Oreochromis niloticus: one gene and its partners. The protein of the gene in region 1 binds, or shares a complex with, the protein of each later gene. Links are inferred from orthologs where the notes say so. Each region holds a gene or a part of one and is shown on either strand. Other genes may lie near its edges.

Region 1 (7,686 bases):
GAGCACGAACTCAGAAGGTTCAACGTTCCAGCGGTGAGCTGCTCTGTGCCACTGCCTTAAATAGCAGCTGGGGAAATCAGCCAGATCAACAGCAGGTGGAGACAATCACACAGGTGCGTGGGCCAAGAGCGAGAGCCCGTAACGAGCTCCACCCAGGCAGAGAGGAGGAGGAGAGACAAAGAAAACAAAAAAGAACAACAACAACAAAACCTGTAGCCAGCGTGAGCCAACCAGAGAGACACGGGGACCGTGACATAAGACCTCCACCAGAGCATCCCCAACCACAGACAGGAACTCCACCCTGTCCTGATCCGACCCTCCGTCAGACACAGTCATCTCAGTGTGGAGGAGCAGACTCTCCTCTTCATCTCTGGGAGATGGCTGATGTCACTGCTGACATCACTGCTGATATCACTTGTAGTGTTGCCAGCTTTTTACGTACCCAGTAATAGATACTGTGGTGTGCCAGAAGCACAGCCGGCTGGGTGAAGTGTAAATATGCACTGTATGTTCATATTCTTATAAAACACAGTGAACTGTCGACCACTGGTCATTATCTACTATATTTTCAGACTCTCTCCAGACCACAGCCGGAGTTTCACACTGACTCACAAAACAAGTCTGAGTGTTTTCAAAAATGGAGTTCAAGTTATTTTTACTTCGTTTGGCGTTAACACACTCCACAGGTCATGAACAAGATTTCTGTAATTTTCACTGTTAGTGGGCTACAGTGTTCTAGCTTAGATGTTCTAGCAGACATCTAAATGCTGTAATTTGATTCTTTTACTAAACCGTGTAACTTGGATGGATGTGATGCTGCCGTGACCACAGTGCACACATGTGATGTTGCTCACAGTGGTCCGAGCTCAGGGAGTGTGTGTGTTTGTTCAGACACATGAAACATTAGAGGGAACACTGCTCACCGCCTGTCTGATTCCTGCTGATCCTATCATCACAGTTTCCCCTGCTCCTCTGATATTAACATGAAGACGTGACTAACTGATCTCTTTGTAACTGATAACTGATTGATGATCAGAGTCCATCACAGGGGGTCTGGGAAACGCTGGAGCCACTGGTCTTACTGGAAATCACTGACACTGCCTGTGAGAGTTTCCCTGTGAGGGGAGCTGGAAGCGCCCCCTGCAGGTCAGAGCAACATCACACACCTGCTGACTGATGTGTGGATGTCAGTCATCAGTCTTTATTCTGCAGTAAAACAACAGCTCAGGTTCATTTAAAGTAAAATATATCTGTGCTTAAAGGTATTTTTCACCATTATGGATCATTAAAATAGTAAAATCTTGTGAAACATAATTGAGTTATTTGACATATGATTTGAGATACTTTGTGAATTTATTTAAAAGCTAACTGTTTTTTAATAAATATAGAATGGCCAGAGAAACCACTCAAAATAGTGTCTCCCTGTCAGGATAAACTCGGGTCGATCATTGTGCCTGTCAGCATAAACTCAGGTAAATGGCCTGTATTTGTACAGCGCTTTACTAGTCCCGCAAAGCGCGACACACACACACACACACACACACACACACACACACACACACACACACACACACAGCCTTCCGATTACAAGGCAAACTCCCAACTCTTGAGCCACGATCGCCCCAGGCACTATGCCACGATCGTCGAACATTGTGCCTGTCAGGATAAACTCAGGGTTGAATGTTGCTCCTGTCAGGATAAACTCGGGGCACTAGTGACACTCCTCCGTCCTTGACAGGAAGCTAAGATGGCGGCCGCCGTGGTGAGGAGTCTGGGCTCCACTTTGGGTAAAAACCTCCGGGAGATCCGCCTGCACCTCTGCCAGACCTCCGCGGCCAGTAAAGGGGCCAGGTGAGCTCAGAGCCGGCCTGCTGAGGCGAGAAGAGCCGGTGATGGTTTGACAGAGCGGTCATTAGCGAAGGACAGCTAACAGCTAGCGGCTAACAGCGCCGCGGACTCGGGTTTACAGTGAGAGGTTTGCAGGTTTGACCCCTGTGAATGCTGTCAGGATAAATCTGTCTGATCACGTGAAGACTCATAAAGAGAGATGATAACAGCAGCTGCAGCTCATTAAACAACAAAGTTGCCAAAGGAAACACACAGAGGCAGAGGTTTGACTCACATCTGGACAGAAGCTCTGGCTCCTGCAGATGTTCGGCTGTGAGTCTTATGTAGTTCATCATGTTCCAGATGTTTGTTCATGGTGGAGACCTCTGAGTCTGCGCAGTGACACACACACCTGAGCCGGCCACTCAGGCTCCATGATCACAGTATGACTCATGGCTGTGACCTGTGTGAACCCACAGGATCACAGACAGATGAAGGTGAAGGAGATTTCATCGTCATCATCATCATCACACTGTGATTAGCTGAGGAGAGAGAGCTGACCTGCAGCAGGAGTCAGGTTATGGAGGAGACAAGGAGCTGGAGGTCAGATTAAGGAGCTCCTTCATTTCCTCGCTGCCCATTAGCAGGGACTGACCCTTCAAAATAAGAGCATGCAGACTGTTGGTAATCTGGTCATGTGAGGGAAACACTGACACGTGACAGAGTATTGATTTATGGATCAATCCATTCATTAGTAACAGAATAATGATGAGCAGATGAATAAACAGTGGCCATGTTTTATTTTTCATTTTGTTGTAGTTCACCTGCAGGTTCAGGGTCCCTCTGACTGAACGTCCTACAGAGGACACCGTCTGATGAGCGGACACCTCGGCGTACGTGTGATTAGTGTCATCTATGCTGGGACATTTATGTTGGTCACTGTTTATGTCTCTGTGACAGCATCACTTCCTGTGGGATTAATAAACAGTTGTTCAGGTGAAACTCAGACAGGTGATGCTCCTGCTGTGAGGTCACAGGTCAGCTGACCTTCCCCCTTCCCCCTGTGTTTCAGAGACTTCGTGGAGCAGAGCTATGTGACCCTGAAGAGGTCCAACCCGGAATTCCCCATCCTGATCCGGGAGTGTTCTGGAGTCCAGGCCCAGCTCTGGGCCCGATACGGTGAGCCCCCCTCACGCTCGGCATCATGGGAGACTCAGATGTGTCACCTGTGTATTGACCTATTATTGATCCCTATCTCTGTTCAGATTTCGGGAAAGAGACGAGTGTCTCCGTGGAGAACATGTCAGCTGATCAGGTGGCCAAAGCTCTGCAGACTCTGGCTCAATCCAAGCCCTGACCCCCGTCTGAGCCCGCAGTGGTTCAGTCCATCCACTCACCTGTTTTTGTTTCTGTAAATGTGCTGATGTGAATAAAGTGAACATGTGAACGTCCCTGTTTACCGTGAGGTCACTGGGTCCATCAGCAGAGTTTCTGTGGGTTTACTGGGAGTTTATTGACGCATCCAAAGTTTTTCCTGAGTTAAAGTCACATTACTTTGTTTATGTTGAAATTAGAAATAAGAAGTTCCTGGGAGCATGTAACTGGATTTCAGATATTTATACTCCGAGTGTATAAATGTACAGGAAATTAACTGGTATTTTAGGAGAATCAAGTGGTTTAACTGGTTTTAAGGTGTCTTAATGGGAACACACTCAGTTTCATTGTAGGTTTATTGGGATTTATGGGGTTTGTTTGGGTCTGACTGGTTTAAATGGTTCAGGCTCAGTGAAACAGAAACACTTTGCTGGTTTTCTGGAGTTTGTTGAAGGAGCTCTGAGTGAAGCTGTGTGAGTCCTGAAGGTGGCGCAGCAGCGAGCACCAGCTGGTCCTGGAGAACCTTCAGCTGTGGCTCTGCTGACCTGCGGGGGGCGCTGTGAGCCAGAGAAACAACACGTGACCGGGCAGGAGAGCTGCGGGTGTTTCAGTGTGTGAGGAACAAAGTTGAGCTGTGAATAAAACCCTCAGTGACGCAGAACAAACGTTTCATCAAATCAAAGAACTCTTCATTTAAACTACATGAAAATGACCTTTAAACACAGACACTGTAGTCGGCCTCTATTTTATAATAACTTTATTATTATTTTATTTTCACCTCATTTTAACCGGATTTATACAGTTTTGGGCTATGTCCACACGTACACGGGTATTTTTGAAAACGGAGATTTTCCGTTTTCGTTTTAAAAAATAATCCCGTCCACACGTAAAGGCAGAAATGAAGGAAAACGCTGCTACGAACATGCCAAAGCAGCAGGTGGCGATATATTCCTAACCGTGTAGAAATGTTGGCCAATCAGAAGTCTAGAAGCCTCGGCGGGAAATAGTAAACAAAGCTGGGGCATAGAAGCAGAACCGAGTCGTATGTGTGGAGGGACAGTAACTGTGCATGTATATGTAAGCATTTAGACACTGCAGAGAGGACAATTAACAGTAACAGTATTGTAGAAATTCATTTCACCGAAACAACAACGTGGCGCACAGTGTGACGTCAAAAAAGGCGCACACCTTTGACGCTGCGTTTTCTCCGTTTTTCTCGTCCACACGTAAATGCAAAAACGGAGTTTTAGAAAATATCCACCCTGGCCGGAGTTTTTAGAAATCTCCGTTTTCAGTGACCGAAAACGGCGTTTACGTGTGGACGAAAGGTGCAAACGCATAGAAAAATCTGCGTTTTCAAAAATACCCGGGTACGTGTGGACATAGCCTTGTTGTTTTTGTTTAAAAAATCTTGCGGTGTTTATTGACACTGCTGTCTGTCCCGCGGTGTCTCCTCTCCTCCTGCAGGAGGCGCTGTGTCTGTTATCTATCAAAACGGAAGTGACATCACAGCACCGTAGCTCTCCTCACAGCTAACTCGGAGCTTGGTTGGAGCAAAGAGACCCGCAGCAGCTCAGAGAAATCCGAACACCGAGCCTCAGTTTGTCCCTGTGACCGGATCAGACCGGACCGGGCCGGATTCAGACCGCAGGAGAAGCAGCTGCCCGCAGAGATGCCTGAAAGTAAGCGTTAGCTCCGCATGTTAGCATGCTAACAGTCATTGTACGGGCTGTTAGCCGTTAGCTATTTGTTTACTTAAAAACAGCAGCAATAAAAACAGGAATTATTCAATACATGATTGAAATAAACACGGCTTTGGGAGAATGAGGACTGTGCTGGACTGAACAGTTAGACAGAAAAAGCCTCTCACAGCAGCTGTTAGCCTAGCTTCTCCTCTCACTGCGCCACACCAGACTCCGTTCACACTTTTGCCGCTTTAAAACTTCCTTGCTCCGCGGCAGAAACGCAAAGCTGTTGAGAGGTTGTTAATAAAACTGTAGCACAGTGAAGGAGTCCCTGTACACATCGGCCAAGCCGGTTTATCTCGAAATCAAAGAGTTTCCATGAAATCTGCAGTTTTTTGAGTGTAAAACAGGGAACATATAAAGAGCAGAGCAGCTCCCAGCTGTGTCCTTTTAAATGACGCGCACCTGCTGGGCTGGCTGTGCTCTAACATCTGTCTGTCTTTCAGCTGAGACTTACTCCAACCCTCTGGCTCCTGAGGGCCATGATGTGGACGACCACCGAGCTGCAGCTCAGTGAGTCTCACACACACACACACACACACTCTGATACACACTCCTCACTGCTGCTACTGTGTTACTGTGTATGTCTTTATTTTAATGTGTGTGTGTGTCCGTCTGTCCTCAGGTCCAAACTGACCAACGATGACTTCAGGAAGCTGCTGATGACGCCGCGGGCGACGCCCTCCTCGGCCCCGCCCTCCAAGTCCAGACATCATGAGTGAGTGATGTCACAGAGCAGCAGACAGTTGTTTACTCCTAGCACAGCTGACACAAATGTGTTTTTATTTCCCAGAATGCCGAGGGACTACAATGAGGATGAGGACCCCGCAGCGAGGAGGAGAAAGAAGAAGAGGTGGGTGCTGATTGGATGTTTGTCACATCAGAAAACTGCCGGTCAAAGGTCACCTGGCCTCCACAGAGCTGATAGCTCGCTGAGTGAAAGATGGCAGCTGGGATGCATGACGGGATTGTGGAAACACGGGAATATTCTGGAAGGAAGGGAATGAATTTTCACGACATTTAAAGAGTTTTTTATTATTAATAATGAAAATCCTGGACAGAAGTTTTCACCTGTGATGTGCACGAGAGCGTTAAATATGTCGACACATACAGCAGTCCACAGCACTCAGGGCCACAGACGGCACCGCTTTGACCCTCAAATGCACGTTATTGATTATTGATCAGCTGTGGTTTGGTTGCAGTTACTATGCGAAGCTGCGTCAGCAGGAGATGGAGCGTGAGCGCGAGCTCGCCGAGAAGTACCGAGACCGAGCGAGAGAGCGGCGAGATGGTGTCAACAAGGACTATGAGGAGACCGAGCTCATCAGCACTACGGCAAACTACCGAGCTGTCGGACCGACCGCCGAGGCGTGAGTACCACCCATCGATGACCCCAACATGGCCGCGGTGAGAGGAGCGGGTCGTTATCATTTTAACTAAACTCTGATCATTCACCTGTGTGTGTGTGTGTCTGTCTCTCTCTCTGTGTGTGTGTGTGTGTGTGTGTGTGTGTGCACGTGTCAGCGATAAGTCGGCAGCAGAGAAGCGCCGTCAGCTGATCCAGGAGTCCAAGTTCTTGGGAGGTGACATGGAGCACACTCACTTGGTGAAAGGTCTGGACTTCGCCCTGCTGCAGAAGGTCAGAGGTCACAGTCGTCAGGATAACCTGTGCGGGTGTGTTACCTGCTCAGCTGTTTACCTGTGTGTGTGTGTGTGTGTGTGTGTGTGTGTGTGTGTGTGTGTGTGTTACAGGTGAGAGCTGAGATCACCAGCAAGGAGAAAGAAGAAGAAGACATGATGGAGAAGGTCCAGAAAGAAGCCAAGTAAGGAACCACGGAGCAGAGCTGCAGCCCTGTGATCAGAACCTCACCTGTCTATGTGACCTTTGACCCCCTCATCTGTCTGTCTGTGTGACCTTTCACCCCTCATCTGTGTGACCTTTGACCCCCTAATCTATCTCTATATGACCTTTGACCTCTCATTGGTCCATCCCTGTGACCTTTGACCCCTCACCTGTCTCTGTGTGACCTTTGACCCCTCCCCTGTCTGTCAGGAAGGACGTGGAGCCCGAGGAGAAGATGGAGTTTAAGACTCGTCTGGGTGAGTCGTGTTTTCTGGAGGGAAAGTGTGGATGTGGGGGGAGGAGGAGGACGGGAGTTTGAGCCGAAGCTGAAACATTTGAGGGAACCGAGGAGTGAATGTTGTGAGTCTGGAATGTTCAGGAATAAAGGAGGATCGTCTCCGGATCAAACGGAATCTTTTTAGAACAACGTGAATATTTTGGTAGGAGAAATCATGTAAACGTGAATATTGAACCTGGCGTTCCCGGTGTCTCCGTGTTCGCTCAGGCAGGAACATCTACCGCGTGGTGTTCAGGTCCGGCGTGGCCGAGAGGAACGAGCTCTTCCTGCCCGGCAGGATGGCGTACGTGGTCGACCTGGACGACGAGTTCACCGACACCGACATCCCCACCACGCTGATCCGCAGCAAGGCGGACTGTCCCAGCATGGAGGTGAGGCCGAGGGCTCGCCGCGTCATCGCCACGCCAAAACATCTGAGTTCTCCAGCTGAATGATTTGAATACCACAGAGCCCCGAGATCGTTCCCTCACGTTCTCTCACGTTGCCCCATGTTCTGTCTCTCAGGCTCAGACCACCCTGACCACCAATGACATCGTGATCTCCAAGCTGACTCAGATCCTGTCCTACCTCAGGCAGGGAACCCGGCACAAGAAGATCAA
Region 2 (7,068 bases), on another chromosome or scaffold:
GTTTCTCTATCGCTCCTAGTCAGATAAATGACAAAACACATTAAAGTGCTTCATTTAACTGGTTTTAATACAACTATTTATATGTGTATATATAAATTTTCTTCAGGATTCAAACAACAATAATTCAGCACACATTATTTAACATCGTAATTGTTCCACAAAGCACTTCTGTCAAAGGTAAAATTATCTGATGTAGAACTACCAAATTTATAGCATTTGATGCTGGTTTATTATATTAAGCACCTGTAAAGCTCTTGGGGTTAAGTCAATTATAGCAATATTTACACCATTGACATTATACTAACACACCAAGGCCCAAATATAAGAAAAATAATCATCAGCCTATAAACCAAATTATCATCTAATAGGCTGACAACCTTTGTCTTTGCCAATAAATAAATAAATGAATAAATAAATAACTGTATGGAGCCACAAAACATATTATAAAACCTATCAACTTTGCAGTTTCGTTAAAAATGTCATGTTTTGTTGCATTTGTCAAATCATAAAAGTAATTTATTACCAAATGGAACAATTTTGAATTGGGGGAGAAAAAAAAGAGAGGCATCTGTTAGTATGTTTAGGCCTACTTAGAAACATAGATGTTATAAAGCTATCCAGGCCCACTTTGCTCAAATGCAAGTAGGACTCAAAGGATTCAAATTAAACGCAGCCTACTTAACAACAAATAAATTAAATAAGTTATTTATATATTTATATATTAAGTTATTTAAAAATCACTACAGGCCAGGTTGTATAAAGTCTTGCTGCAAAGAGCTTCATGCAGTTTCAAAGCTGCAGATTCACGCACACTATATAACCCTAAAAAAAACAAAAAACATACATTATAATAAATACCTTTAAAACACATCAGTCTTAACTGATGGACTCTTTTGGAGTACATAGTTTTCAGTGTTGGTTTGTAATGCAAGGGTTTTTCCTGGCACTGAATGGGCTTTTTCGTGGTGATTACATCCAACGCTAAACACACCACAGTAGATTACACATAAAATCCTAGCAGTGTGTATGATAAAGTTAGCTCTTGTTCATCTTTGTCAAATAAAGGGTGCTCATCTTACGAGAGAAGGAAAATAGCACAATAAAACTAAACAGAGCACAAACATCTGTGTTCTGTCTGATAGGATGGACTCCTCATACTGGTCAAATGCTGATTTCATGCATACTTCATAAAATTCTCACCTATCATTACAGCTCTGCCTTTTGGGTCAACGGCAAGAAACTGTCCAGGAACAATACGCCGGCAACCGCTCTTCCCAAATGTTTCCTGGTGGATCTTCTCAAACATATTTTTTGATGGATGATACTCCAGGATGACGATACGACCACTGTCACTCCCCACAACAATGTAATCTAAAAATACATAAATATCACTTAGAAACTAAACCTGCATGTCAACATTAGATTAATTATGATACTATCATGTAATTAAAGCTTAGGTAATGAAAGCCAATGGAGGCCAACTTCCCCTCCTAATTGTAAATGAATAAAAAAAGAAAGCAACTACGAACAATACATCAGTGTCAGACAAAAAATTTAATAAAAACCACTTAAGAGAAAATTATTAATACATGCCATTTAATCTGTGCAATGCATGTTTAGAGTTACAAACACATGCATGTGAGTGCATATGATGTAATTTCTGTACCTTTGGTTCCTCCAGTGAGTCTGAAGGCCATCAGGGATCTGATGATGCCAAACACTTCTACTGTGAGAAGAGTGTGCACCTTTCCTGTGTTGGCATCTGGTCGTAATAATTCCAGGATCTTTCCTCTGGAAACAACAATCTCCTGCATCTTGGTTCCTACCAAAACAGACAAATCAGACATATCACGTAGATATTTTTGTTGGTTTTCCCTAAATCCTGCTTTTAAAAAAGCATTATGTGACATGTCTTTTATGTATTTTTTAACCATGAGAAAACTACGCTTTACATTATCTCCATCAACATAATGAGTGAAACACCATGATAGGATAAAATCTAATGACTATACAAACACAAGAAAAGATACTTAAATAAAACAATTAAATGTGCTTGCTAATTCTCATAGAGATTGCAGTTAAAGGCTTCTTTGACAATAAAGGAGGGTTACCAAGCTTTGATAAATTAACCATGACCTAACCAGACATAAAGCAGTGACATCTGGCGTAAATTCACCTGAGAAGTTTCCATGGATGGCATGGGTGATGCCAGTGGCACGCTGCAGGGTGATGTTGTAGAGAAACATGGCTTCCACTCAAATCTTATTCAGAGGAAGCTGAAAGAGCGCTTAACCCGGCTCAGAACTGTAAACAAAGAAAACCAAAAGTGTATTTACAGTAAGGAATCAAGAAGTTTGAGACCACTGGACAAAGTCACAATAAGCTACGCGGTCGCACTGGTGACAAATGAGGGATCTTCAAACTGAGGTCAGCTGTAGTGGACTGTGGAGCAATACATAGCGACTGCACTCATCACAATATTGCTATGAAAAGTTGGTGGAGCGGTGTAGTGTTTGCTGGACACAAAACCTACGGCGCCGCTAACGTTAGCTCAACATTAGCTGTGAGAAAATTAACGTTCCCCGGACATTTATGTACTACCCTCTGTGCTTTTAAACCGTGCAATAGGGGTCACGCATTCCTTTAACACGAATTTAAACTACTTAAAAAGATCGTTTACATCAATCCAAGAGTCTGAGAACATGGCCCATTCATACAAAGCGCCACTTCTGATTAACGCTTCCCCCCCTTTTTTTTTCTTGCTATATTACTTTAGCTAGTGCAAACTTCACACACATTAAACGTCCGTTTAATTGCGGAAAAGATGCAGATCTGCAAGATATAATATTTACCGGTGTGCTTAGTAAGATGACTCTGATTTCAGATGGATAAAGTTTCATTTACGAAAACTATTTCCTTGAAACCCTGAGAAGCCGACGCTGAACCGCCGTTGGTGGGTCCTTCGCCAGCCAAAACGCCGTCGCAAGAGCTGGCCCACACAGTGCCTGACGGAAATGCGAGACTGTAGTACTGTATTGTGCACAGCAGATGACGACAAAGACCTCAAGATTAACGGAATTATCGCGAATGGGCGCCATAAGAAAAACAATATCTGTAAAATAGTTTCCCACTACATTTATTGCCCCTTTCTTCTGCACGCTTTATCATGATAGCACTCTACGTCTTCTACTATTTAGTCAAAAACAATAAATAACCTGTATGCTTGTTGCACACCAGAAAAGAAAGGCAAAAAGTAGAAAATAAACAATGATGTTTGTATCCTTGATATTAAGTTACATTTAACTTAATTACAAAGCTGTTAAGAAAAATTTTGCAAGATTTTTAAAATGGGGTGGCCCATGTGAGGGACGTCAGAGAAATGCGGGGTCCAGCAGCACCAAGGTAGGCAGAGATAATGGGAAAAGCAAACAAGGCAAAAGGAGTTTGTTAGGTTAGTTATATAATGATCACTGATATACACAGACGTACCTTCATAAGAAGGCATTAGTTGACGTTACAAATCGTCCTAACACACCGTGTGCTCTCTGTCACTTTAACACGGTGCTGTAATAAACTAACAAGTGTTATTATTGAGATGTTACTGCGGGAAAAGCATTTTTGTACCTCAATGTTGAAGCTGCAGTTAATAACGAAGGTTTGCATGTTTTCGCTGTAAAACGCAATAATGTATATTAAACTGGGTGACACTTGCCACCTATAAAAGGCCTTTTATGTGCTATTTCTCTCGCTTACGGCCATACCACCCTGAACACGCCCGATCTCGTCTGATCTCGGAAGCTAAGCAGGGTCGGGCCTGGTCAGTACTTGGATGGGAGACCGCCTGGGAATACCAGGTGCTGTAAGCTTTTTTGACTTCTACACACAAACTGCAGAGGGCGCTGATGCTCACTCAGTGGCGACAGCATTGGGCTTTGCTTTGAAAAAATATAAATGACAGTTTAAACACTGAAACTACGGAAGCGTAGAGCTGCCACCCAGGCAAAAGAAAAATAGAAGTGTATCACGTTATAACGTGAAAAGTTTATTGTTCTAACAAGATACTTTTCATATTTGTACAATATACTATCATGTTTGTACAATATACTTTTCACGTTTGAACAACATAATATCACGTTATTACAATATATATAATTATCACGTTCGTACAATATAATTATCACGTTCGTACAATATAATTATCACGTTCGTACAATATAATTATCACGTTCGTACAATATAAATATTATATTGTACGAACGTGATAATTATATATATTGCAATAACGTGATATTATGTTGTTCAAACGTGAAAAGTATATTGTACAAACATGAAAAGTATCTTGTTAGAACAATAAACTTTTCACGTTATAACGTGATATACTTCTATTTTTCTTTTGCCTGGGTGGCAGCTCTGCGCTTCCATACTGAAACTAAGTTGAGCTGCTTTAGCTCATTCTCTAGTACAGGTTTTCCTTGCGACTCCTACACAAGGTGCACTTTCACAGACTTCCACATGTTTTTATGCACAAGAACTCGATAATTAACAACTAAAAAATAAGTTTATATTTGTACAGTCAGTGGGGGACTAGGCCATTGTTCTTCTCACAGTTTCAGTCTGGTAGAGAAGTGTTTATTTCTCAATCCCACTGTGAGCCTGTCTGCTATGGAACGCCAGGACTGCCATAATGAATTAATTAAATACACCTTTAAATAATTAATTAAATGTGTCAATAATTATTTAATTAAATATGTCGTAAATATTTATTTAATTAATTATTTCCAATTTTAATTAATTATTGCCACATTTAATTAATTATTTAATGGTGTATTTAATTATTCATTATGGCAGTCCTGGCGTTCCATAGTCTGCTGCACAGACGCACCTGTGTCTGTCAGACCAGCTTTCAACTCTGCACTCAACAGTTACCTCGTTTCATATACTGATGTAATTACAGCGATTTTAGTAAAGCTTATTTACTTTTGTTACATAAAGGAAAGAGAAATTTGGCCCATGAGAAGTCCATAACATATAACTTGGATATGGATGAATCTGTAAGAATTTTTGGAAAGAGAAGCAGGAGACTGTTGTTATAGAGTGGATTGAGGATTTTTATTCTTTATTTCTATTTTTCAGTTTTATTTTTCAAGACTTTGTGAATTGTCTATTTTTATGTCTTGGCTTACCCTTTTTGGTTTTGTTGATATTGGCAGTAGTGTGACGTACTATTGTTGGGTTCGAATATATTTATTATATAGGCCATCCGGTTAAGGTAAATGTCATGTTTTGAGTTGTTAGAATCGGATTAGCAATATTTTATTTTATTTTTTGTTGTTTTGTTTTTCTGTTTTCCCCCTGAGAGATTACCACCTTAACGTGGTCAGGGGGTTTGCGTGCCTCAGTGACCCTAAAAGCTAGATCAGCGGAAGCTTAGCCTTCAGGTGGGACACCCAAGTTGGTCAGGTCTTAGGGTAGAGGCCTGACAAAGTGCAATCCAATTACATGACAAAAACAGTTATGGAGCACCCCACCCAACCCCCAGCCCTTAAGTGTTAAGTCACCAGTTTATCATTTCTGCAAATAGATATTGCTTCTCAGTTTTTCCAGATGTTTTTCAATTTTTTGATTTTTGCTGCTTTATGAGCCATGAAGAAACTAACATTTTAATCTTTTTTTTTCAGTTTTATTGGCAGGCATTTCTGGCATTTCCTTAGCAGATGTCTTAGAATGAAGCCATAACATTATAGGACATAGGAAAGTGCAAACATTTCGTTTTGGTGTGAACTCTTCCTCTAAAATCTGATTCGGATGTCGTATAATCTAATTAATGATATCGTCATTTCTTCTTCCAGAAAACATGCAGGGCTTGCAATGATTAAAATACTGAAACCATCATAAAATTTTGACTTTGTAGTAACAAAAACATTTAATAAAGACACCTGCTTATCGGTTCCACTTGCATTTCAGCTACAACCAGCTGATTTCAGGTCATGCACCAGGGGAGGAAAATGGTAGCGCAGTATACAGCCTGGATATTGAAATTACTTTTTTTATTGCACAAAAGGACAAGAGAGAGTAGTAAAGTGGAAAACTGCTGCTTCCTTTCTACCTCTTCATGTTTCTGAAGTAAAATCACTGTGCCAATCACTTTAAAGTGTCTTTGTGCTGGGGATCACCCTTGCTTTGTGTACCTAAAGATAAACATTACACGTGTGACCTCATTAGGATACTGATTTTTGTTGTTGTGTGGGAGTGTAGCCTAGAGGTTTATATTGTTAAATGGTACTTTCGAGACAATGGGTTGGGAAGTAACAAATTACAAATACTTTGTTACTGTACTCAAGAAGAATTTTCAGGTATCTGTGCTTTACTTGAGTAAGCAAATATCTCCACTGTCTACTTCTGAGATTTTAGAAACAGACTGATTAGTTTAGGTCCAATGGTATCATTTATATTGCTTACACTCGCAGATTAAAGTGGGCTGGAATGAATGCAGGTGTCCCTTTTTAGTTGAATAGCCTTGGTGTATGGGATGGAAACATCTGTGAAACATCTGTGTACATCTTGTTGGATTCAGTTGTGTAAATCCACAGAAAGCAGTAAACCTCAGGTCAACAATAGCAACAGATCAGCTGATCACAGCCTGTATACAGGTTTCAGATTATTGTAAGTAGCCTCTTAACAGCTTAGTATTGACATATGTTTCTCTGTTTCTCTAAATTACATTGGAAAAAGGACTTGGATAATCGATAAATGGAAAAAGAATAAACCAGACAATGAAACAATGATTTTTTATGAGTGTTTATTTTTAAACCATACAGTTGTGGCCTATAACAGCATAACTAAAGGATGGGACAGGGTCAGCTGATCTAGCTGTAGCTATAAGATTGATCAAAAAGGAAAGTTATGAGTTTAATGTTAAAAGACGAGAGCGTTTCTGTTTACACAGGACAGTGACAGGAAAGCTGAAGGCTCAGCCTCCCATTAGACACATTAGACCTCACCAGAGTGAACAACTTTCTCTGCAGCAACACAACTCATAACTTTTATTCACACCCTGTCCTGATACTT
Region 3 (7,485 bases), about 490 kb from region 1:
AGTAAACTGATGACCAGCTTCAGGTGACCTCTGATCTTGAATGAGTGTCACATCTGAAATAAAGGCAAGCGTCACTCTGATGTCTGGAACAAACAGCCTGGGTTCTGTGGTGCGTTCACTGACACAAGCAACAATCAGAAATTTAAAAAAAAACAACTGTTTATTACAATCTGAATTTCCCAGCATGCCTAGGGGCTGATACAGACGGGGATCAAACTGTCTGAGCTGTGCTTTAAATAAAGTTTTATGTTTTGTGTGTTTGAATCAAAACTTTATGTGAAGAAGCTCAAACACAAACCCGGGAAATCAAAATTTAAAATTTCAGATTTTTTCTGTGCAGCCTTGAATGCCTTCTCACTCCTGACAGCTACTTCCTGTCTGACCTCTGACCTGTTGCGTTTACTGCCTGCAGGATTTAACAAACACTTAATCAGCATCCTGTGAGCAACAGGAAGCAGCTGATTACATCTAGATGAACTAACAAAATAAGAGTCTGGCTGTGAATAACAAAATAAGAGTCCAAGATGAGCTCCGCCTAAGTCCGAACTTCCGCCTGATGTAGAGAGGGCGGGGCAGAAAGCTGCTTCCTGCCTCAGAGAGGCGGAGCTTCAGTGGCTCTTCTTGGACGAGCCGAAGCCGGAGAAGCCCATCACTGCCGCCATCTCGTCGTCCTCCTCGAAGTCCACGTCCTCCTCCGCCCGTCGTTTCCGCTCCTTCTGCTTCTCCTTCTTGTACGCCTTCGCCTTCTCCTCCTAAAAAGACGCAGCAGAGACACCTGTGAGGAACACGCTTGTCCCGAAAACCTCACGAGATCCATAAAACTCCTCCTCACCTCCTCCCGCAGCTCCTTCATGCGCTCCTCGAAGTCGTACTCCTTCTGCTTCTCCTCCAACTTCTTCTTGTTCACCTCGAATCTTTTCTTCACCTGATCCAGAGACGAGCGCTCCACCCGCATCGACATGCCCAGGTTCCTCTGATCTGCTCTCACACACACACACACACACACACACACACACACACACACTCGACTTTCAGAGTTGGAGGAAGTTGCAGCAACACTGACTGAAATCTGACATGATTTTCAAAATAAAAGCCTCCTCTCTGATCAGATTATTTTGGCGTTTTCAGCTGTGAACTCACGTTTTTTGCCGTTGATGTGATCCAGGAAGTTGATGGAGTCTTTGACCACACAGTCGCACACGTTACAGTAATACCTGAAACACCAGAAGAAGAAAAAAAGGTCACCCGTATGTCCTTGCACCACCTGTATAACGAGGATGGCGGCAGCAGCTGCGCAGCCCAAACTTTGAGCGAGATCATCAGACACGTTTGTTTGACAGAACAGAGCTAAACTGATTTCAGCTGACGGTGTGGGCGGAGCTTGTCCTGACACTGACCTCCACTTGTCAGCGAGTCACAAACAGCTGCCTGCTCGAACCTTCAGCCTTCATCACGCCATATTTTCACCTGCAAAGCAGCTGCAGCTGACTTGTGACGTCACATGTCAGCGGTTGCTTTCGTTCAGCTTTTGTTTTGGTTTCAGTCTGCGTGACAACTTGAAGATGGCGTGTGAATCTGGTCTTACCCGCCCATCTCGGCCTGCGGCGTGGTCTTGGTGATGACGATGGTCTTCCCCAGCTTGGACTCCAGGTCCACCTTGTAGTCCCGGTGACGCAGGAGGTCCCGCTTGACCGGCGGCGCCGTTTTCCCTGAAGGTGCCAACATGTGACAGGTTAATACAGAAATTAAAAGCCTAAGCTCCTCCCTCTGAGCAGGCACAGTATGTTCAACTCGGAACAATCAAAGCGGCTGATGTTCTTACCATCTCGCCGCTCGCGCTCCCTCTCCTCCGCCAGACGTTTCTGGGCGAGGTTCTCGTACTCGTCTTTGTCCCATTTCCGTCGGAAGTCGTTTTTACTCGACTGGAAGAGAAAAGAGAGACGCCGCCGTTACCGCGCGCACTTCCTGTAGAGCTGACCACAAAGTGGAAATCACAATCCACAGAAACATTGATTCAGTGACATGAAATCAATATTGGGATTATTGATTATTCCCCATTCAAAGGTTAAAACACTGTCTGAGCTTCAGCTTTTATTTTTAACTGCTAATCGTGTATTTTATGTATATAAGATTTAGATTGGTTATTTACAGTTGGTTTATACACCTTTGTGTATGTATGTGTGCATGTGTACGTGTATGTCTGTATATACAGAGATGTGTGTGTGTGTCTGTGTACTGGGTCGTTTACATATTGTTGTGATTTACATTGCTGTGCTTGAGAGTCACCATCTACCGGAGCCAAGTTCCTTGTATGTGTTTGCTCATATACATGGCCAATAAACGCGATTCTGAAAATAAAGACGTGTAACTTTCACCTCCACCTGCTGCCTCCTCTCTCTACAAATCAAACATGTGGCTTATCACTAAAATACAGATCATCTTAAAGTCAGAAAAGCAGCAGGTCTTTATATCTGAAATAAAAACATTTTAATTCAAGCCTGAGCTGAGTTCCTTGTTTTGAGGTGAAGCTTTTATTTTGACAGGCCGATGACGGGGAAGCTATACTGCTTGTGCTAACAGGCTAACACTGATCAGCTGATCTGTTTCAGAGCTGCGGGAGGGACAAAAACAAACACGAAGTGCCCGGCAGCACAGAGCGGGTTAACGAACACTGGAATAAGGTTTAGAAAACGTCTGAAATGAAACCGGAAACGCTGAACATGGTCACGGTTAGCATGCTAGCTTCTGCTAGCTAAGCGCGCTGCAAACAGCTGTCTAAAGACGGAGAACCGGCCTGAACCGGACCCGGTAACAACCCCGACTACCACACACCCCGAGAGTGAAACACGCCCTGCTCACACCGCCGAGCTTTCATGTTTTTACTCTAAACAAGAAACGCTCAGAAACTCACCCCGCTGCCTGACGCCATCTTGTTTACTTTGTGACCGGAAATGACGGCAGCTTCGTCTTCTTCTTCCTCTTCTGTATAGGGTTTTTTGGCGGTTGGCAAACAGCAAAATGATGCATTACCGCCACCAACTCCACCAGCTCATGCGAAATAAATCAATCAAGTCCAACTTCACTTTCATATCGTCCAGCTTTTTGATCAGTTGTCTCCTTTCAATATCATACTTCTGACAATGCAACAAAACATGTTCTATTGTTTCCTGTGCCCTACTGCAGTCACACTCCCCTGTACAGTGTTTACCTATTAAAAACAATGTGCTATTTAAACCAGTGTGTCCGAATCTCAGTCGAGATATAATCGTCTCCTCTCTCCTGTTTCGTCCTGTACTTCTCATTTCCTCCACTTTCCTTTGGATTTTGTAAAACCATCGCCCTTTCCTCTCTTCCCATTGCTTTTGCCACCTTTCCTTCATTTTGTATCGTATTCTACTCTTGAACTCCGTCCTACTCACACTATTAACCATATCTACCATCGCTCTTCTTGTTGCAACTTTTGCTGTCCTATCTGCCGTTTCATTTCCTTTAACTCCATGATGCACTGGTACCCATAAGAATGTGACCACAAGCCCCATCATAACAAGTCTGAACAATGTTTGCTGGATCTCTATCAGATTGTCAGGTCTGCAGTCTGAGTGGCTGTCTTGCAGACTGGCCAGTGATGAGCTCGAGTCTGAACATATCACAGATCTTAGTGGTTTCATTTCTTCAATCCACTGGACAGCTAACAATACTGAAACCATTTCACCTGTGTACACTGATAAATCGCCACTGATCCTTTTCCCCACCTTGATACCAAACTCAGGAACTATAAATGCTATCCTGCTTTGGTTGGCTGTATTCTTTGATGCATCTGTGATTAATATATTCCTGTGCTGTATGTGAATTTAAAATAAAACCCCTCTCCTTGTTCTTTTTGTTTAACACTGTGAAATCTACTATTGCATCAGGGAGCATCCATGGTGGTATCCATGGTGGTATTGTAGGCAACGGTGCTGTTTGACTTATGTTGATCTTGTCCAGATTAAGTTCAGCTGCTTTCTGTCCCACTGTCCACCCAAAGCTCTTCAATTCACTTCTCTTTTTCCCAGCATGGTTGGAAAACAGATTTTGTCGGATGATCGTGACCATGTCCTTGTAAACTTGCCCAGTAATTCAATGTCAGTTGCTCTCTTCATATTTGTAACGGCATTTCCCCCATTTCTACCTGTAGTGCTGCTGCAGATGTTGTTTTGAATGCACCTGAGCAAAGTCTTAACACTTGATATTGGACACTATCTAACTTACGAAGACTTGTTCTGGCAGCAGAATTAAATACTACACACCCATAATCCAGTACTGACCTAATCAACCCAGTTTAAATAGCTTTTAAAGATTTCCTATCAGCCCCCCAATCAGTTCCCACTAGGCACCTCATTACATTCAACACTTTCTTGCATTTATCTATTATTTTCAGAATATGTATAGTCCATGTCATCCTTTCATCAAACCACAACCCCAAATATTTAAATTGTTTTACCCTTTCTAATGCTTGTCCATATAATCTGACCCTGACATTTATCAGCAATGAAAACAATAACGGGCTAACTATGCTTCCTTGTGGCGTTCCATTTTCTATTGGCAAACTCTCCGAATAACTCCTCCCAATACTTACTACTATTTGGCGTCCTTCCAAAAGATCCTTAATCCATCTGAACATTCGACCATTTATACCCATTTCCCTCATTTTTATTAATAGACCTTCCCTCCACATCATATCATACGCTTTATATCAAAAAGACCGCCAGCACACTCTCCTTGTTCACTTGTGCCTTCCTTATCTCATGTTCTAAACATAAAGCTGGATCCATTGCACCCCTCCCTCTTCTAAAACCACTCTGATACTGAGCCAGATATCCCTTCTTTTCTACATAAAACACTAATCTTTCATTTCTCATTCTCTCCATTATTTTACAGACGTTGGATGTTAAAGCTGTTGGTCTGTAGTTTCCTGGTTTCGTATCGGTATTCTCACTGCCTCCTTCCAGCTTTGTGGCAACTTCCCTCCCTCCCAAACTCTATTATACAGTCTAGTAAAACTTCTTTAGCCGAGTCTCTCAAGTGACTTATCATCGTGTAACAAATCTGATCCTTTCCAGGTGCTGAAAGGTTAAATTTCCTAAGTGCCCGGTTCAATTCTGTCTTTGTAAACAGCATATTCAATGAAACATTTGTGTCATCAACTTGCTGCAGTATCTCCCTGTTTGCTGCTACTGTAATTCCTCTTCCCCTTTGACCTTCTTCACTAATATTACTTGAGCTATGGATTTTAACAAAGGTTCTTGCCATCATATCTGCCTTTTCTTCTTCTTTCACCGCTGTGACTTCCCCTTCACTTAATACTGGATACCCACATTTCCTTGTAATGCCATTCATCCTTCTGATCATTGACCACACCTTACCAATGTTTGTCTCTCTCCCCACAGAACTACAAAAGCTCCTCCAACTGTCCCTCTTTGCAGTTTTAATGGTTCTTCTCACAATAGTTTGTGATTTTTTATATTCAACAAAATACTGATAATTCTGATTCCTTTTTAACACCCTAAAAGCTTTATTCCTGCACCTAATTGCTTCATCACATTCCTTTGTCCACCAGGTTACAATCGTCCTGTTTCTGCCTCTTTTCAGCTTTATAGTCTGGTTTGCTGCTACCAGAATTGCACCACACACAGGTGAATTTAGATCATCAACACTAACATTCATATCAATTTGCTGCATCTCCAGATCACTAACTCATTCAAACGTCTCCCAGTCTGCAGATCCAAAACACCATTTGTGCACACCTCCTGTATCACACCTCTCCACAGTCATTGCTATCTCAGTCTGTACCGGATAATGGTCCCCACCATTGTCTCTTTAACTACTCGCCATGAACAAACACCCGCTGTTAGAGTGAATTGTTAAATGTTTGTCATTTTTATTCTTACCATTTGTACTTTAACTGTGTGTTGAAAGGAATTCTTTTGTTCTCCCCTCCCCAGATTCTCGAGGTTCTGGGTGAGGGGCTATAGTGTTTTATTGCAGATACATCCTATCTGGAAGATCTGCTTCTTTTGATGTGGTAAAACTTCCTGCCCTTTGTATGGCTTCACTGTGTTATCTAGGGTGAACCATAGATTGGGTGTGGGGAGGTTACCCTCTTTATGACCTAGGATGTTGTTCCTGCTTTATGACCCTTTTGGTCAGCAGTTTACACACACACACACACACACACACACTTACAAAACCACAGGCAGGGTATTCCTTGTTCACATGTATACCCATGTAAGCCGTTATATGTTAATGACCCTATGCATATTCAAGTAACCACAATAAAAGAAGTGCTATGGGGAACCTGGCTGAGAGTCTGATGGAGGTCAAGTAGGTGGAACGACACTTGGCTCCAGGCAGGCCTCCCTCATGCATGAGTAACACAACGAACGTTGCCTACTTGTGTCTTGTTCTTGCTGTGTAGCAAATTGTCCTGAACGTTCCAGCGAATAGGTTTACGCTACAAACCTATCACCCGCCAAAGAATCTGACACTAATGTGAGATCAATTGATGATTCTGTCCCTACTGTTGACCCTTGTACTGCTTCCATCATTTAGGCACACCAAGTTTTTAACTTCCATTAATTCTTCAATCACTGCTCCATTTTGGTCATTGTAATCTCCCCATAATGAGCTATGAGCATTGAAATCTCCACACCAAATTACTTTCCCCCCTAAGTGCCCCCCAAGTTCTTCCATTACTTCCAGTGACAGTCTTTTACATGGGTTATAAAAGTTTACTACGCTTATGCTTCCATTTTTTGTCCAAGTTTCAACTACAATATACTCCAGCTGTGTCCCTTCTCCCAACACTCTATACTGAACTCCCTGTTTGATAAATATAACACACCCTCCCCCTCTGCCCTCCCTTCTATCCCTCCGAATACTCTCATACCCTTTAATAACAAAATCCAAATTTGGTCTGAGCCAAGTTTCCTGAACACAGATAATATGCAGTTTCTTTCTAAGATTCTTAATAAATCCCTTAAATTCTTGTCCATTTCTTATTAAACTTCTAGCGTTCCACTGTATAACGATCAGACTGTCCTCTCCCCTGGTCCTCCTGCCTTCTCGTCTCCCCACAGTCTCTTATGAACTTGCTCCCAGGAAATATCTTTTATACCAAAAGATTTCTCAGCCCCTTTTACAATTATTTTAATCTTTTCCATTTTGTGTTTAACTTGGTCTGTACAATTTATTACATATGCAGTGAACAAAATCATCTTCTCCACTGTGATTGCTGGATGGGTTTCATCAATCTGTTGTCGGTCAACCTTTGTGCTTCTTCTTCTTCTTCTTTATAGATTTTATTGGCAAAGAGCAAAATGGTGCATTACCGCCACCAACTGGTGTGGCAGCTGCTGTAGTGTCATGTTTTTCAACAGAGGTAGAAAGAGCGCCCCCCGCAGGAGAAGAGGAGGTGAGGCTATGAGGCCCCAGCGTGGACAGGAA
Region 4 (7,151 bases), on another chromosome or scaffold:
CACAAATTCATTTTCAGTCACTCAAACTGGTGTTTACTCACGCTTCTCGTGCCTCTCTGTCCCTCTTGATGCGCTTCAGCTCTCTGACCTTCCAGGCTTCGTATTCCTCCTCCTCGTTCTCTCCATCGGTGTCCAGAGCGTCCAGAGCAGCCAGCGTGCGCCGGTTCTCCTCAAACTCCTTCTTGGCCTCTTCCTCCACGATCTTGAGGGTATAGCGCCGTCGCTCCTCCGCCTGCCGCTTCGCTTCGGCCTCCAACTCTCTCTGTCTCTGCTCCTCTGCTTCACGCTCTGCCACTGTGACTCTCTCTTTTCTGTGGAGAAAACAGTTCATGTGCTCATTAATGTTAAGGGCCTGGTATTCAGGCCGGTGTCGTTGTGATCTGCTTCCATCTAAAACACGAAGCGCAGCTGCTTTCTTCACCGCAGAGCTGCACGAGGGGCGGCTTTAACAGGAATAAAGTGTTCAGGAGTTACTTTGACAGAAATGTTCAGCTCTACTCGAGCTGTTTCCAAACACATTTTTGAGTGTGAACAGCTCCAGACTGTCCTGTATGTTTCCAAATGACATGAGTGTTCTGGATAAATGAGACAAAGCACACTTGATAAAAGACTCATCATTCACTCATCACTCAGAATATGTTTTCTCCATGTTGCTAATTTTTGTTCCTTCAGAAATGCAAGCAGACACTTCCTGTGTGTCTTGATCTGTCAACGTTCTGCACAGAAAACTGACCGTCTGCGACTGATAAATATGGTCTTTGGATTTACGTTGTTCTACAAACTTTCATCTCGTACTTGCGGATGAAGACAGGTTTGAGCCGCGGCTCTGCTTCGTCCTCGCTGTCGGTGTATTCCTCGTATTCAGACTCTGACTCCGACTCGTCTCCTGATTTCCCCTCTTCCTCCACCTCCATGACCTCCATCTCTTCATTCTTTCTTTCCAAGGCTCGCTGACGCATCATTGCTCGCCTCCTCTCGATTTCCTGTAAGTGTCAAGAAGAAAAAAACATGTCTCACTACAAATAAGTGAAGAAAAAAAAACTTTTGACAAATGTAAGCATTAAGGCACCTCATCATCCACTTCTTCTTCCTCCTCCTCTTCATCTTCACTGCTCTCCTCTCGCTGTGGGTGCCACGTGCCTTCATCAGAGTCTTCACTGCTCTCAGCCACAACTTCAGGCTCTGCTATCTGTCTGTGTCTTGCAAGCCTGAGGACAAACAGGCACAAACCATGTTCACGTCAGCTTTCCAACATGATCGTTTTGGTGAACTTGAATCAGATCGTAAACGCTGGGCGCCACCTCTCTTCCACGTCCTCAGAGACACGGTTTAGCAAACGCCTGAGACGTGGATCAGAGACATCCTCCTCCTCCAGCTCCACCTCTGTCTCCATTTCTTTTCCCTTCTTCACAAACTGGAAGTCTTCTTCTTCTTCATCAGACGACTCCATCGGCGCGTAGTCAGGGCGTTTACCCGACACGTACCTTTTCACCTTCACCTTCTCCATGGAGAGCTCACCTGGCACATGGAGAGACACAATCCTCTTAATCACACTTGAACCTACGTAAAGTTCTCCGATTAGGAATACCAGCTCAGCAGAACCACAAATAATACCAACTTTGAAGTTTCTCATTTTAATCTTTAGTTAAGACCAAGTAATAAATGTCATCATTTATTACTGGTAACTAAATCATTACATGACAAACTGATCACCAGAAAACTCATGCCTTTCTCACAGGACATGCAAATCATAAAAAATCATCTTAAAAGTACCTAAACATGAATTTATTTAATATTATACAATACTGGTAACCCCAAATGAATGATTACACACAGTTTGTCTTTCAGTTATTATTTAATTTACTTCTAATATCCAATTTCTTTGTATATAGCAAATCTAATAAAAACCTTTAAAAAATACTTTTATCAATCAACGAGTCCACTGACATGAAGCAAAATTTTAATTTAGAACATTTTTTTCTTTTTTAAGTAAGAATTAAATCCAACTTTTCTTAAACACACGTGACATCAAACTGAGTGTATTTACATGTATATATTAGTGCTATTTCTTACATTTGTAAACTCTGCAACATATTGTGTTACTTAATTAGTTTAGTCTGTTGCTGTTACTGTCTTGGAGCAACTGTAACCCACATAACTTCCTTAGGGATTAATAAAGATTCCGATTATGGGGTCACTGGTCTTTAGGTAACTGCAATGCCTGACAGTGCTGATGTCTGTGTATATACGTCCTCACTGACTTCAGGCCGCTCGCAACACGCTGATGCGGACAGTTTTTTTCTACTCTTGACTCTGTATTATGTCACACAGAGGGAATATCCCCAACTGGGTCATGTCACCTGCTCTAAAAACCTTCTGTTTAGGAAGGCCAGCCAATGAAAACCTTTGGCTTAAAGACGCAGGAGCTCGTTTAACACAGAGTGGACTGAAAGTTTATCTGATGTGTAAATCGTGCAAACCTCCCACTGAAGCACCCCACAATAAAAACGTGGCTCTGTTTTAATGCAACTCCACTCGAAGGCCGCAGGTAGTGCAGGATCCCATCAGGTTTATTGAGACCCGTTATCCAACTACAACTATGTAGACGAAGATAATTTTGTTAACACTTTCCCTCAATTGTTAAATTGTTACACTAATGTTATTAAATTAAGTTTAAAAAAAAGTACAGTCCATTTTTTCCAGCATATATCTTCGTACATAAATTTACTACCAGCTTTGCTATTCCAGCTAACTAGCTTAGCACGCAGCTAGGACCCTGCTTACTAACCGCACAAGCTCACCTTTCTCATTCCGGACCGGCACGGCTCCGGCCGTGGACTGGATCGGTGGAAGCTTCATGTTTAGGGCTTCGCGACTAGACATGACTGCCCGGTCCACGATATGCAACCGTACAAAGATTAAAAAAAGGAGTATTTCACTTTGACAAAACGAATTCCTCGTCGTCGCTCAACTCAAACGGAAGTTTGACACAATCGGCGAACGGACAGGAAGTGAATTTGCTCCGACAGTTCTTCCGCCGGTGAGCGATGACTGTGTTCATTTCACTTTAATACAGAAGATAATGTCATTTAGTATCCCCAGAAGTGAGGCATTTGGTTTACACGGGAAACAAGTTTGCGAAAAAATGATGAAGTTAACTTTCTAAAACAGGGAAGGGTGAAAGTGAATGTTAATATTCTGAAACGTTTTAGTGTAACAGCGCCATCTGCAGGCTGCTGAGCTAAACATTCATTCTTTTTGTACGAATAAATTCAATTATTTATTGTTTTCTTGGTTAAAAAGTAGAATAATTTCTAATAATCCGATATGTTTTAAATGTGGACATGTAACATGTAAAGGAGTTACTAAAACTATTAATGAAATAGAGATATCAGGTCGATTCAAGAGAAAATACTCAAATGAACTACATCTCCTTGTTGTTTTATATTAGCTTATTTATTTTCTTTTAAAGAAAATTACTGAGCATAAAATGTATAGTGATAGTGTGCCAAATTGTTTGCTTTGTGTAATGCAGTCCTGCAAATGTGTGTTATATCTAAATAGGCTTATTTTTAAACGGACCATCACAGTGCACAAGCTACAATTGCCAAATGAGGAGTAACATCTTTTACTTTTTAACTACTAAACACCACAACATCAGACATTCAACTTTCCTGCAAAACCATGCACAGAAAATTAGACACTGTAATGTAAATTCAATTTGATTTATTTTGAATATTTACAAACTAAAAAGCATTTTATTTGCATTTCTCCACTGTGTTGTGGCCCTGCTGTCAGAGCTGGACTCCTCTCTCTTTAAAGAGTTCCTCCAGCTTCTTCTCCAGAGCTGAATTGGTTCCTTTCAGGCCTTTCACCACCTCAGAGGCCCACAGGAAATACTCCTGCACCCGCTCAGCTGTCCAACCTGCCAAACACATTCAGAAACATAACTGAACAACATTTGATATGTTGTCTTTTGCACTTCTGCCAAATAAATAAAGTGTTCCAAAGCATTTCATCCTCTTCATTTTGTATTTTTATTTATTTTTTTACACAGCATTCCATTTTGTAGCAAACAGCACTGTGTCCAGAGAAGTACTGACCAACAGGAGTGCAGCGGTTCAGATCCCTCAGGTTGTACAGTTTATCAGCCAGTTTAACCAGCTTGGCCTGTTGGCTGCAGTGAGGTGCGTGTTCCACCTGTAGACGCTTCCTCTCCTGCTTGGGCAGGCTCTTGTCATCCGTCACCTCCTGAACAATGCGAGCCACGGTTACCCCAAATTTAGCTTCCAGCTCTGCGGGGGTGGTGTCGGTGTCTTCTACTGTATCATGAAGCAGGGCGGCCTGCAGAGCGGGAGGAAGCACATGGGATTACTGATGTGAGAATGCGTGCACGTGACTGTGACTAACAGTTAACAACTGATAACTCACCTGCAAAACCTCGATGTCTGTGACGCCCCCTTCGTGGCTGAGGATTCTCGCCACTCCTTAAAAGCACACACAGAAAGTTGTGAGTAGCAGAGAGGACAGTAAACAAGAAGCTTCACTGTTTCCAGGCTGCTAAGAGAAGTCACTTATAGAACAAGAAAACTCATTTATAATCAGACATTTCCTCTCTGAAGAGCTCCTTCAGAACTTTAAGTTTCTACACAACATAGCTCATAGCTCTCATCTGTAAGTAGGAAAATAAAACTCACACAGAAGAAGTGGACGAACCACCAGAAACTTCCTTTACACACAGGGACAACAAGGAGGGAGCTTAATCACTGGCTGCCCATCTATGGCACTCCTGCCTAACACCAAAATAAACGAATCCACTGAACTGTAGTCTCAAAAGATATTTTGAAACAATCACTAGCTCCTCTTTTGCATAATAAAGCAGAATGTCTAACGAAATGTAAAAATACAAATTTGGGGGGGGAGAGGGTTAAAAAAACAAACAAAGACAATATAATAAGAATAGATACATGGAAAATTAGATGAGAGGGAAAATAATTCATGTTTTTCAGTATTATTTTTGGTGCATTTCTTTATCCTTTCAAAGCTTGTCCCTTTAAGTCCCCCACAGCTCTAGTGGTCTGGAGCCCTGACAGGAAAAGCACTGCCAAGTGCTATCATTAGCTCAGCAAAGAAAAACGGAGCAGTGGGTAGTGGGGGAGATATTAGGTTCGTTGCAATCTGCAGCCTCACCACTAGATGCCGCTAAATCCCCTGCACACAAAAAGCCATTAGTTTTGTACGCCTGAACAAAAAACCGGATCAATCGTCCTCCACCTCCAACGTGAGACTATACACTGTGTGCCGAGCACACAGCCGAAAAATAACGTATCGCTATTACACGGCAGGCTATTATCACCAGAATCAAAATAAAGGCACTCGTGTTAATTGAAATATAGTTTCTGCAAAACTATTTGTTGCCATAAAATGGTAAACACTAAATATTAGTGATATAGCTGCAGTATGCGAGTAAACCCTGATAACTTTACTGGTTAGTTCTGATCGTACCGCTCCTTTCGGCTACTCCCTCCTTCCACGGCTTCCGGTATCGTATCAGTTAAACATCAGAAACTTTTTTTTCTTTTTCTTTTAAAGATAAGAGTGAGAGACTTCACGGGTTTACGTACAGGCCGTGAATGCATCATACTACCGTAAAAACACACCTACCTATGGGGTGATTTATATACGGCGTTTCCTCTGGATCTTTACGTTTCTGGTTGCGGTGTTTCTCTGCGGCAAATTGGACAGTTTCTAACAATAAAGCTGCATCTGAGTTCATGGTGTAAAAATCACGTCCTGTCAGGTCAGTAACAGAAAAACCGCGTTGTTAGGTGAATTAATTTTCAACGTCTTTCGAGCAAAACTGTGGCGGTCCGTTCGTATTATGATCCGGGGGGAAACAACTGGTCGTGGGATCATTCCAGTTATTTAGCTACGGAAGCAGGTAGCTGCTAACATAAGATATAAGATAAAGTGTTATGTTTCAAAAGACATAAACGGTCAAATTTCTGGCATTAATTTTATATTTTTGGGGGAAATTTTTACACACTAGTGTCAGCGTATTCGATACTTTATATCTTCATTTATGTGATGAATGTGATTTTAGCTTTGAAGCTAAGCCAGCAGGGAGGATAATCACAGCACAGATCTCTGACTGTTCTATATGTTTCTGCTGGTTTTTGTATCTCCATTATTAAACATTATATTTGTATATGAGTTATTTATTTATTTTCTTTGTTTATGCCAGCCGTGGATGACTGAGTGTTGTCCGGCCTCCGTCGTGTGTCCAGCATGGCTCACAGTGCCAGGAGAGACTCCCCGGAGCTCCCCGACTTCTCCATCCTCAAGAGGCTGGCCAGAGATCAGCTCATCTACCTGCTGGAACAGGTAGGAGCAAGTCACAGCTTCTGCTGAAGACATGCTCATCAGTAATATGACTGGCATGTATAGCATGCATATGGCACTGTTCTTCTTTTTTGTTTTTTATTATTATACTTTATCATTTGACTGCACACCCATTCACGAGCAACACGTCTGTTGGTATCGCTCAGAGCACAGAGGACCTCACTGGCCACCACAGACTCATCAAACATCCTGAGCAGCGTCCGGTGGATGTTGAAGGACCTCAGTGATGTCAGAAAATAGAGACTCCTTTGGCCTTCTGTGCTTTTAATGAAGTCTACTGTATTTCTTGTTTGTTTTATAGAATTATAACTTGTGTTTATGGAGATAACAATAAACCGTTTGTCTGGCAGTGGCTTTTAAAAGTGCCCACCAGCTCATGGAGTGATTTCTGCTGCAGAATCATGTCTATTTCTAATGCAGTGCTGCTGGAAAGCCAAAGATTGCAGCCATTTGCTTGAGATTTTATGTTGAGAAATATTACTCCTATATGCTGAACTATACTGTCTTCACATGAAAATTGTCCCCACCAAACTACAGTTTACTTTTGCCATAGGAGTCAGTTTTACAGTTTAATTTTATTTAATTAGGCAAAAATGAACATTGTCAGAATCAGTGGAGAAAGTGTAGAAACTGTGTGCAGACTAAGCCATGCACGCATTAGTTTGTGATGTACTTCAGACTCGGTGAAGACAAAAAACAGGAACTACAACAAAACAAGGGATGCTTTTTGTGTTGTGAAGAGCAGATTG

The links.
Region 2: ik (region 1) and sf3b3 share a complex: the UniProt entries of both Homo sapiens proteins name them as parts of the spliceosome B complex. The link is inferred for Oreochromis niloticus from reciprocal best matches to the Homo sapiens genes IK and SF3B3.
Region 3: ik (region 1) and zmat2 share a complex: the UniProt entries of both Homo sapiens proteins name them as parts of the spliceosome B complex. The link is inferred for Oreochromis niloticus from reciprocal best matches to the Homo sapiens genes IK and ZMAT2.
Region 4: ik (region 1) and mfap1 share a complex: the UniProt entries of both Homo sapiens proteins name them as parts of the spliceosome B complex. The link is inferred for Oreochromis niloticus from reciprocal best matches to the Homo sapiens genes IK and MFAP1.

Annotation. Positions count from the first base shown.
Region 1 is NC_031975.2:33,418,491-33,426,176, reverse strand, and holds the start of ik (protein Red), read left to right. Parts: upstream 1-4,672; 5' UTR 4,673-4,873; coding exon 4,874-4,883; intron 4,884-5,392; coding exon 5,393-5,459; intron 5,460-5,571; coding exon 5,572-5,664; intron 5,665-5,739; coding exon 5,740-5,799; intron 5,800-6,148; coding exon 6,149-6,316; exon of another isoform or gene 6,317-6,401; intron 6,402-6,470; coding exon 6,471-6,585; intron 6,586-6,645; exon of another isoform or gene 6,646-6,678; intron 6,679-6,698; coding exon 6,699-6,769; intron 6,770-6,999; coding exon 7,000-7,046; intron 7,047-7,294; coding exon 7,295-7,458; intron 7,459-7,591; coding exon 7,592-7,686. Other genes in the region: ndufa2 (NADH dehydrogenase [ubiquinone] 1 alpha subcomplex subunit 2), read left to right, coding at 1,748-1,851, 2,900-3,006, 3,093-3,184. UniProt on the Homo sapiens protein: Involved in pre-mRNA splicing as a component of the spliceosome. Auxiliary spliceosomal protein that regulates selection of alternative splice sites in a small set of target pre-mRNA species. Required for normal mitotic cell cycle progression.
Region 2 is NC_031972.2:7,733,415-7,740,482, reverse strand, and holds the start of sf3b3 (splicing factor 3B subunit 3), read right to left. Parts: upstream 3,011-7,068; 5' UTR 2,853-3,010; intron 2,305-2,852; 5' UTR 2,247-2,304; coding exon 2,177-2,246; intron 1,823-2,176; coding exon 1,667-1,822; intron 1,372-1,666; coding exon 1,201-1,371; intron 16-1,200; coding exon 1-15. UniProt on the Homo sapiens protein: Component of the 17S U2 SnRNP complex of the spliceosome, a large ribonucleoprotein complex that removes introns from transcribed pre-mRNAs.
Region 3 is NC_031975.2:32,927,399-32,934,883, reverse strand, and holds zmat2 (zinc finger matrin-type protein 2), read right to left. Parts: upstream 3,023-7,485; 5' UTR 2,930-3,022; coding exon 2,912-2,929; intron 1,923-2,911; coding exon 1,823-1,922; intron 1,710-1,822; coding exon 1,586-1,709; intron 1,215-1,585; coding exon 1,141-1,214; intron 979-1,140; coding exon 833-978; intron 753-832; coding exon 609-752; 3' UTR 142-608; downstream 1-141. UniProt on the Homo sapiens protein: Involved in pre-mRNA splicing as a component of the spliceosome.
Region 4 is NC_031965.2:1,538,436-1,545,586, forward strand, and holds the start of mfap1 (microfibrillar-associated protein 1), read right to left. Parts: upstream 3,023-7,151; 5' UTR 2,884-3,022; coding exon 2,802-2,883; intron 1,519-2,801; coding exon 1,302-1,518; intron 1,209-1,301; coding exon 1,070-1,208; intron 984-1,069; coding exon 796-983; intron 312-795; coding exon 42-311; intron 1-41. Other genes in the region: hddc3 (guanosine-3',5'-bis(diphosphate) 3'-pyrophosphohydrolase MESH1), read right to left, coding at 3,795-3,925, 4,104-4,344, 4,432-4,487, 5,665-5,776; vps33b (vacuolar protein sorting-associated protein 33B), read left to right, coding at 6,289-6,384. UniProt on the Homo sapiens protein: Involved in pre-mRNA splicing as a component of the spliceosome.